2 linked regions of the Bombyx mori genome follow. The protein of the gene in region 1 purifies or fractionates together with the protein of each later gene. This does not show direct contact. Links are inferred from orthologs where the notes say so. Each region holds a gene or a part of one and is shown in the gene's direction. Other genes may lie near its edges.

Evidence for each region. The genes of interacting proteins can lie anywhere in the genome.
Region 2: the proteins of DnaJ-4 (region 1) and BAG family molecular chaperone regulator 2 purify together in Homo sapiens (affinity purification with mass spectrometry; 4 studies listed by BioGRID and IntAct, with this or other methods). This does not show direct contact. The link is inferred for Bombyx mori from reciprocal best matches to the Homo sapiens genes DNAJB6 and BAG2.

The regions. Positions count from the first base shown.
Region 1 is NC_085116.1:8,813,183-8,817,493, reverse strand, and holds the start of DnaJ-4 (DnaJ (Hsp40) homolog 4), read left to right. Parts: upstream 1-1,504; 5' UTR 1,505-1,894; exon of another isoform or gene 1,895-1,958; intron 1,959-2,388; exon of another isoform or gene 2,389-3,405; intron 3,406-4,311. UniProt on the Homo sapiens protein: Has a stimulatory effect on the ATPase activity of HSP70 in a dose-dependent and time-dependent manner and hence acts as a co-chaperone of HSP70. Plays an indispensable role in the organization of KRT8/KRT18 filaments.
Region 2 is NC_085125.1:2,380,732-2,385,014, forward strand, and holds the start of BAG family molecular chaperone regulator 2, read left to right. Parts: upstream 1-1,483; 5' UTR 1,484-1,690; coding exon 1,691-1,794; exon of another isoform or gene 1,795-2,088; coding exon of another isoform or gene 2,089-2,093; intron 2,094-4,283. UniProt on the Homo sapiens protein: Co-chaperone for HSP70 and HSC70 chaperone proteins. Acts as a nucleotide-exchange factor (NEF) promoting the release of ADP from the HSP70 and HSC70 proteins thereby triggering client/substrate protein release.

The DNA.
Region 1 (4,311 bases):
TTTCTAAACGTTATGATCACGTCTCGCCCACAGCCACTGCGAAGCTATTTACGTATCCAACGATTTAAAATAGATCGTCGTAGAAATATTTTTATGCGATGTTCGTTCTAATAGTGTAACTTATTAGAGCTTTCCAATAATTTTTAGTATTTTAGATTAATCAGCTTTTTTATAAGGGTTCTGCTGTCAAATACAAGAAAACGGAACTCTTATAATTTCGTCATAAATCCGTAAGTCACAAAAATTTGACTTTGACTTTACCAAAACACAGCCTTATAAAGTGTATGGCTGTGTTGGCCTCGAATACCACCACCTCATCTCTTCCAGTGAGAATCGTAAAAAGCAACTAAGACATTCACGAGTTAATGGGTGGTATCGTTATTTTAGCAGTTATACTAACGTACTGTCATAGCCATCCTCTATTTTCTGGTAGTAGGGCGTATTGTAAACTCGCAAGGCTAGGTAACAACGCCCTGGCTATTTCTGCCGCGCAACATGACGGTGTTTCTTTGTAGGATAAGCCAGGCCTTTTAGAATTGGGACTATCACCTCGTACCTCAACGTGGGTGGCAGCATTTCATGTCTATGCGCTCCGCTAGCCGGTCAAGACCAGGTTGACCGTCACCTCGTTCAATCACGTCACGCAAAAAAAATATTTAAAACTTACTAGTAACTATAGACAAATTTTGGAAATCACAAAAAAGGTTGGTCTTTATATAATTGTACCAAGTATCTAATGAAATATTTGGGTCCAAATTAAAAAAATATATTTTGCTGAAATTTTAATTAACTTACAAAAATTATGAACGAAATATACAAAAAATACATTTTTTATGGTTCCTTATTGTTGATCGGATTTCCTTAAAGAAATGTCGTCTGTATCTGTAACTGTATCCTACATAAATTTTGTAAAGGTCCAGGGCATCATTTCATAAAAATATAAAAAAATTATAGTAAAAACAGCTTATGTATAACATATATTTATATATAAAAAAATAATTTTTGGAGAGCGCATTACCTCAGCGGTTCGTACTTAGTGAAATGCTTCTTCAATACAGTTTATTTAAACGTTTTTTTCGTTAATAAAACAAAAATAGATAAGATAAATTAGAAAAGTCGATTCAATGTCGTTAAAAACAACGATTCAGTATGTTGTAAGGCTATTGAACGTGAAAATTGCAAAACCTATAATTTAGGCCCATTCATAAAATTATGACATGGTTTTATTTTTCAACGTTAAGTAACTTGTGTTTCTTACGAGATGCATAAATTATTGTTGGATACAGAGATTCGTTTAGAAATGATTATGTATTTTTGATAACACAAGCTCTTGTATATAATGTATTTGATAAAAGAAAACTAAAGCAAGTTTTGCTGAATTTCAAAAATTGTATGCTTGCGATGCTGTGATCGCGATATCATTAGCTCATAGTTTAGAGTGCTCGTATTCTATTCGTAAATGTTCGTGTCTCTGAATGTCAGTCGATGCATAACAGGCGTCCGAGTTGTTAGTATGTGGTTATGTTACCACTTGCTGCTTCCCACGCTTTGTCTACAATTAAATTAAAGATATAAACTTAAACAATGAAAGATATTAATGTTATTTTGTGAACAAATTTATAGCAGTGCAGTATTTAAAATTATTTTTATGCTACTAATTGAAAAAGTGATTTAAAAAAAAATTGAATTTATAATTGAGAAAAGGTGTCATTGATTCGATCAGTCAACCATTAAAAGTGCAAGTGCTACTACTTACTGTACGAGCTCTGTGTCATTGTGTGATCTCATGCTACCAACCAAACGGTGTTCACAAATCCGAAAATCGTATTTTCCATTGTGGTTTCAAGGTTGACACCAGTTGTATTTTACCGGAAAAGCCCGATGTTATTTTAAGGTTTGTATATCACTCCTACATACCTATTCTATGTTATTTCGGATTTATCGTACAATCATAATGCCTGTAAATGTGTACCGTGTACATACTATATAAATCTGTTATATTCTTCAGAGTGCAATTTCAGTTTTGTGTGGGATCGACTTTAGGTAGATCGTTACGAATGGACCATAAATAAGACTGTGTGGGAAAAGTTAGTCACAGTCTCCAAAAATGGAAGTATTCAAAGTAGAAACAGGTTTTAATTTTATGAACATTATATTTAAATTAAGTATTGAGAACATTTCTTCTATGCTTGTTTCGAAGATCATTCGATTATTTTGAACTTTTTAATAATAAAAAAATTTTATTTAAATAAGTCACAGAACAATGTTTCCGTCAATAGTTCCGATATCTGTCTAAGTACATCCAATTTGAAATGTGGTTTGACGAGTGGAGAAACTAATTAATTGACTCACCTCACTCTCAAACAATTACAATACTAAAAGGCTTACCTTCTCACAATCTAGGTGTATTGCTGTACACCAATGTGAACACGGCGGAGCACAAGTTCGCAGCTTACATCGCTCGGAAGAAGCGACATAGTATTCTCGTTGCTCAAATAGGACCGGACTCGTCGCTGTCCAAATTCTTAGATACGGCACATGGCAGCGAATAATCCTGGAAATCGCCACTTCTGCGAGTTTACCTCTCACAGAAGTAGGCGTTGGAGCCTAAGAGATGAGCTAACGCCCTCTAGGGCGTTGCAGAGTTGATGCTAAAGAGTGATCGGTTGGCGGTACATCGCGAGCACCTAGCAGACTGGTTCTGGTTCTGGGAGGTATTCCGGAACCACAGTGGCAAGGCCTGGCCTTCTTGATAAGCTGTCATCCGAGTTGGCCGACGAAATCGTTTTCGTCGATGTTTTTCGTCGGCCGAACATCCTCTTGGTGGCCACGTGACTGATCGCAGTGCAGACCGCAGTCGCCCCCCAGCATTTCGAGCGTAATTTGATCATTTGGGCGAAAAGTGCAGAATAGACATTTAGTGGGTCGCTTCGGCAGTTCCACAGGATCCGGGCATGCCACGACGCGGATATTTTTTAAAAGAAATTTTTATACCGTACTGATGCTGGTTATCATAAATTTGTAATTTTATAATTTTTAAGTTTCATTTGTTATTTATAAGTACATCATTCGTTTCTTGTTTTCGGCCTGTAAACTATCTTTTTGCAAAATGTTGATAGGTCCCAAACATATGCTTCAAAGGAGGACACTAACAAACTCAACTTCGCACTTAAAATATGGGTAATAATTTTAGCTTTGAATGTAATAGGGCGCGTTGCTCCCGACAGCAGGACTGTCGCTTCGACAAGCACCCAGTTTCCTATTCTTACGTTTTCTTTAAAAATACCGATAATTATAGATAAACTATAATAATAGAAAAAATATTTACTAGATCTCCTATTTATTTATTTATTTATAAATTATTTGTAAGAAATGGCAATATAATTTAAAATAGACGAGACGATATAAAAATTATTACCTAGTAGTAAAACATTTGGTAACTGAAAAAAAAAAAAGATTTTACTTTAGGCTAGACGTATATACTTAAATACATTTAAATATAATCTATGCAGATAATATTGGATAAGTACATACATACTTGTAGATACAGTTATAAATTGTACCAATGCAGACAATTGAGACAATTTCAATCTTAACCGCAATGTGAATAAAAAATTTTTAGCCCTAAGCTCACAGCTCTGATAGGCTATGTCAGCGTAACCTAACAAGTAGGTGAGCCGGCGAGAAACTCAGTGGGCTGTGTCTGTTTGGTTAATTTACTCGCCGAGCCTTTCGTCACGAGCGAATTCGACGAGAACGATTACCGGTGCTTTAGGTACCTACCTAAAAGCACCGTTAGTGGATCGGAAGCATTCGAAGTGACGTGCTGTGAATAGTGGCATTCACGTTATGCTGATCATCGCCTTCGGGATGAGCTCAGGAAGGTCAAGAGCTCATGTGTTCATATCAAAATAAAACACTTAAAGTAATCGCTTAATGTTTTCGTTACCGATCGTGATGTTTTTATTTTATCACTTAACTACGCTTTCACCCACAACTTTGTGTGCTTTATACAAATATCGCACGGGTGGAGCCTTGTGCTTATGGTACATTGGGCTGACAAATTGGAATCTATTCCATAAAAGCAAAGCTTTTGTGACAAAGTCGAAGCCAAGTTTCTTATATATATATGGTAGAACGGAACATTATGGAATGTATTCAAATTGATTAGGTATTTAATTAAATGAGGTAAAATATAATAATTTGGTAGGCGTTGAATAAGATGATCTGAAATAGCCTCTCAATAAAATGTGGAAATTTACTAAAGTTTATGTTAACTGATAATACGATTACACGGCCTTATTTCTGCCG
Region 2 (4,283 bases), on another chromosome or scaffold:
TATATCTAATAAAGACCTCTGGACCGAATGTACTAATGGTACTTTTTTTTTTAATGCTTAGATGGGTGGACGAGCTCACAGTCCATCTGGTACTAAGTGGTTACTGGAGCCCATAGACATCTACAATGTAAAATGCGCCACCCACATTGACATATAAATTCTAAGGTCTCAGTATAGTTACAATGGCTGTCCCACCCTTCAAACCGAAACGCATTATTGCTTCACGGCAGAAATAGACAGGGTGGTGGTACATACACGCGCGGACTGACAAGAGGTCCCACCACCAGTAATTACGCAAATTATAATTTTGCGTTTTTGATTTTTATTACACGATGTTATTCCTTCACCGTGGAAGTCAATCGTGAACATTTGTTAAGTACATTAAAAAAATTGGTAGTGGTGCGGGATTCGAACACCGGTGCACCGGATACGAATGCACCAGACGTCTTATCCTTTAGGCCACGACGACTTCTAACTTACTACTAACTAACGTAATATGTTTAATAATGTTATTATTTAATTTATCTATGTCTTCGTTTCTGTAATACTATCACATAATCTATTTCTTTTAATTGTCCTAAATTATCTCGTTTTCTTTATTCGGACAAAGTAATCTAATAGCATTTAACACTAGGTTCATAGCTAATACAGTGCATAGTGTAGCTAATGTAATGTTTTATATACTTAAAGACGTTTCATATAGGGTATTTTTAATGAAACATGCTTAACTACAATGTGTATTTTATTTTGTCTCAATCAGTTTTTTTATAAGCCTTTAAGATGTACCTACGTTGTCTTCATCCTTCCATTTGGCAATGTGATCTGGCATTATTTATTTTCTTTTTCGAATTCCTCCAAATAGATTGAAGTCTTTCTACCGAGATGTGGTAGTGGCCTTTTTAGACACCACATATTCTAGATAAGGTAAGGTAGATTGGAATCCTCTTAGTTGTTTTAGCATGACAATCGGCTTCTTGCATCACGTTGCCATTGTCGTATATATTTATTCCTCAATTACTCATGGTTTCCCAGCAACACGGTAGAAATTTACTGAGCGCTAATCTCAAATTTCTGGGAAGAACTAAAGAAGCCATTTTCAGAATTTTTTATCCCATTTTTTCCACATTTTCACAGATAGTAAACGGCTAATATGCCACCATAACTGCTCTTAAATATTAAGTAGATTATATATGATCACTACACGTTTAAACCTGACGAAAAACTAAATTAACAAAGAAAAAAATCACACTTCTTTTCGCCTCACATTCCCATCAAATTCACATTCACATCATATCCTTACGCAGTTTCCAGGCTTAATTACCATTATCCTTCAATTAAAAGCAGCTTTATCAGAGTCGCGTGCAGTCGGGTATTTATTTATTTATAGAATTGGTTCCACATTTTTGACAGGAATATTGAATAATTTTTTTGCCCAGACAGCTTTGCCTTAATCCTCAACACGTAGGTTGTATGGCTTTGTTCCGTTTGCCAGTCTTAGTTAAACATTCGTCAAGAATCAAGAAACGTCAGTCGAGTTCGATTTTGTTTTGGAAGTTTGCAGTGCGGTAGTTGAATATTGACGTCAAAGAAAATTGTAAAGACTTTGTTTTGAGCTTGTTAACAGCGCTGATCGATTAGCTTATACCTTTCAAAGAAAAACTGACGGTTTAGTGAAAGTGCATCTCAAACTATGGAGGTGGATCAATTTGCATTAGAGATTGCGTATCCAGAGGGTTCACGACTACCCCTCATCGACGAATCCTCGGTTCTAGGAACGCAGGCGCCGAAAGACAGGTATGGTTTTTCGACCGAATAAAATCGTTCATAAAAGGTGCTTGTAGGTACTCAAACTTTTCGAAAGCCAAAAATGGTATCGGCCGAAACTTTTGCGGTCGCCCACGCCACAAGCCTTGTTGAAACTATAATAAATTATTATTTTACCAAGATTACTATTTTGTTAGTCATATTGTTAGCCGTATAAGGTGATTGGAGCTTCGTGCTTATAATTATAGTAATCTAATTGGAATTACGTGACGACGTACGCATTCGTGACAACTACAAAGAAGTTATGATTAATTGTAGTCATTAATGAGGTATGTTACATTATTGATTTCAACATCTCCGATATATTTATTTTCATACGAAACGCTAGAAAATAAAAATAGTATAAATGAATGTTATAATACCAAAAAGTGTGAGGTTTTAAAGTTCTCATTTTTGTCTCATTAATTTCTTAATCAGAGTATTTCACTTTTATATTTGTAATATATTATCATTGTTACTAGCAGCAGCAATATTTAGTTTATGTTGTGTTGGGTGAAGAGTCAGATCCTACAACGTGATTACTACAAGATATCAGTAGACTGCCCAAGTTCTTTTTTCTGCTAATCGGTTCTTCCCATAACTTATTTGTAATATATATTTTGATATTTTACCTTTATAAATCAATCCTTCTCCTGTGCCCTGTGTAAATTTCACTGGTGTATTGTTAGCCCACACAGGACTACTACAGCTTTACCTATATCTACCATTGCAACATATTCAGCTTGTAATAAAAAACGTAAGGTTAGCAGTATTATCAATAAAAATTGCCTTTTCCAGGTAACTAGTAATGATATTGACGGTAGAAAGTGGAAATGTCGTAACTTGCTTTTGCATTCTGGATTTTCTTGTATAAAAAAAATACTGCTTCTGTAGTTTCGTTTTCCTATAATAAAATTTTTCATTCACCTTTATTTCATCCAATTTCATACCAATTTTGAACATTATATCTCTATAAATATATAAAATGAGTTATGAATTTTTGAAATAGTTTTATGGCTCCGGTATAAGGTCGGGTTTTTCAAGTTACGACAATTCTGCTTTCTTGCATCGATATGGTCAGTTACTATTCTATATCTCACTGAGTGAAGAAATAAGGGGAATATATTATTGTCTACAGGCTTCCTGTTTCAAAAAGTTAGACCCTCTTATGATAATGAATGAGTAACTCATGGCCCATCCGGTGTTAAGTGGTTACCGGGACCTATAGACATTTTAATTTGAATGAAGGTGGTCACTTTGTCATAAGAGTTTGAAATTTTAATTGATAAGTATATTTTAGTTTGAAAGTTTTGTATAGTCTTAAGTCATGTAGACAAGCTTGCTGGATTTATTGTGACCAGCCAGTTTCTTCGTTTTAATTGTGTTGCTAATGTCATAGTTTATGATTTGGTTGAACTATACAGAAAATAAAATAAATGAAACAATACCTTTGTTTTCACATGTCTTTGGATGCATAAAAGTGACCTTCATACTTTGAACTGTTTTAATTGAAATAAATCATTCAACATTCTCCTTCCTGGTTCTTTGTAAGCAATTAATTGTACAGTTCTCTATTACATAATCACATGTATGTGTGTTGTTAGTAAATGTATTTAAGAAATAGGACTGCTTTTTTTTTTTTTTAATTCACACCAGACACATTACCAACATTCGGTTAAGAGCTTATATGCATATCGACGCTTGAAAGGCAAACGTGACTAAGCGACAATGCGTGAACTTTACAGTAGACTAATTTAAAGTTAAAATACCTGAAAACAAAATTTATTTTAACGAAACCAGCTGTAGTAGAATCTAGCTAGTAGCAGTAGGATTGAAATGATTTTAATAGACCTAGAAATATATATTTTTTGCACATCGAAAATGGTTATTGCCTTTCATTTATGTACAAAGCAGTTATTGTCGCTTAGTCACTTTTGCCTTTCAAGCGTCGATATATATTTCCTTTTGTTAATGCCGAATATATCTATCTGCATATATTGGGGTATTTTTCTATAGTGTTCTTATTTCACCTTCTTCACCTTGATTTTCTAATTCAGTTTATCTCTTCATTTTCTGTAATTGTCATTGTCTGTCATTATCCATAATAAAACATGAAAGAGGAGTGCATGCGGTAGATATCTAAATGAAGACATGTGTGAATGTAGCCCCAGTGATTGATAAATTAAAGAGCGGACAGTTAGGGTGGTATGGACATGTGATGCATAGAGAGGAGATGCATGTGACTTTGAGATGTATGAAAATGGTAGTGCAAGGCAAAAGGGGAAGTGGTTGACCGAAGAAGACATGAAGTCGTGGCCTAAAGGATAAGACGTTCGGTGCATTCGTATCTCGCGATACATCAGTGTTCGAATCCTGCAGGCGGGTACCAATTTTTCAATACGTACTTAACAAATGTTCACGATTGACTTCCATGGTGAAGGAATAACATCGTGTAATAAAAATCTAACCCGCAAAATTAT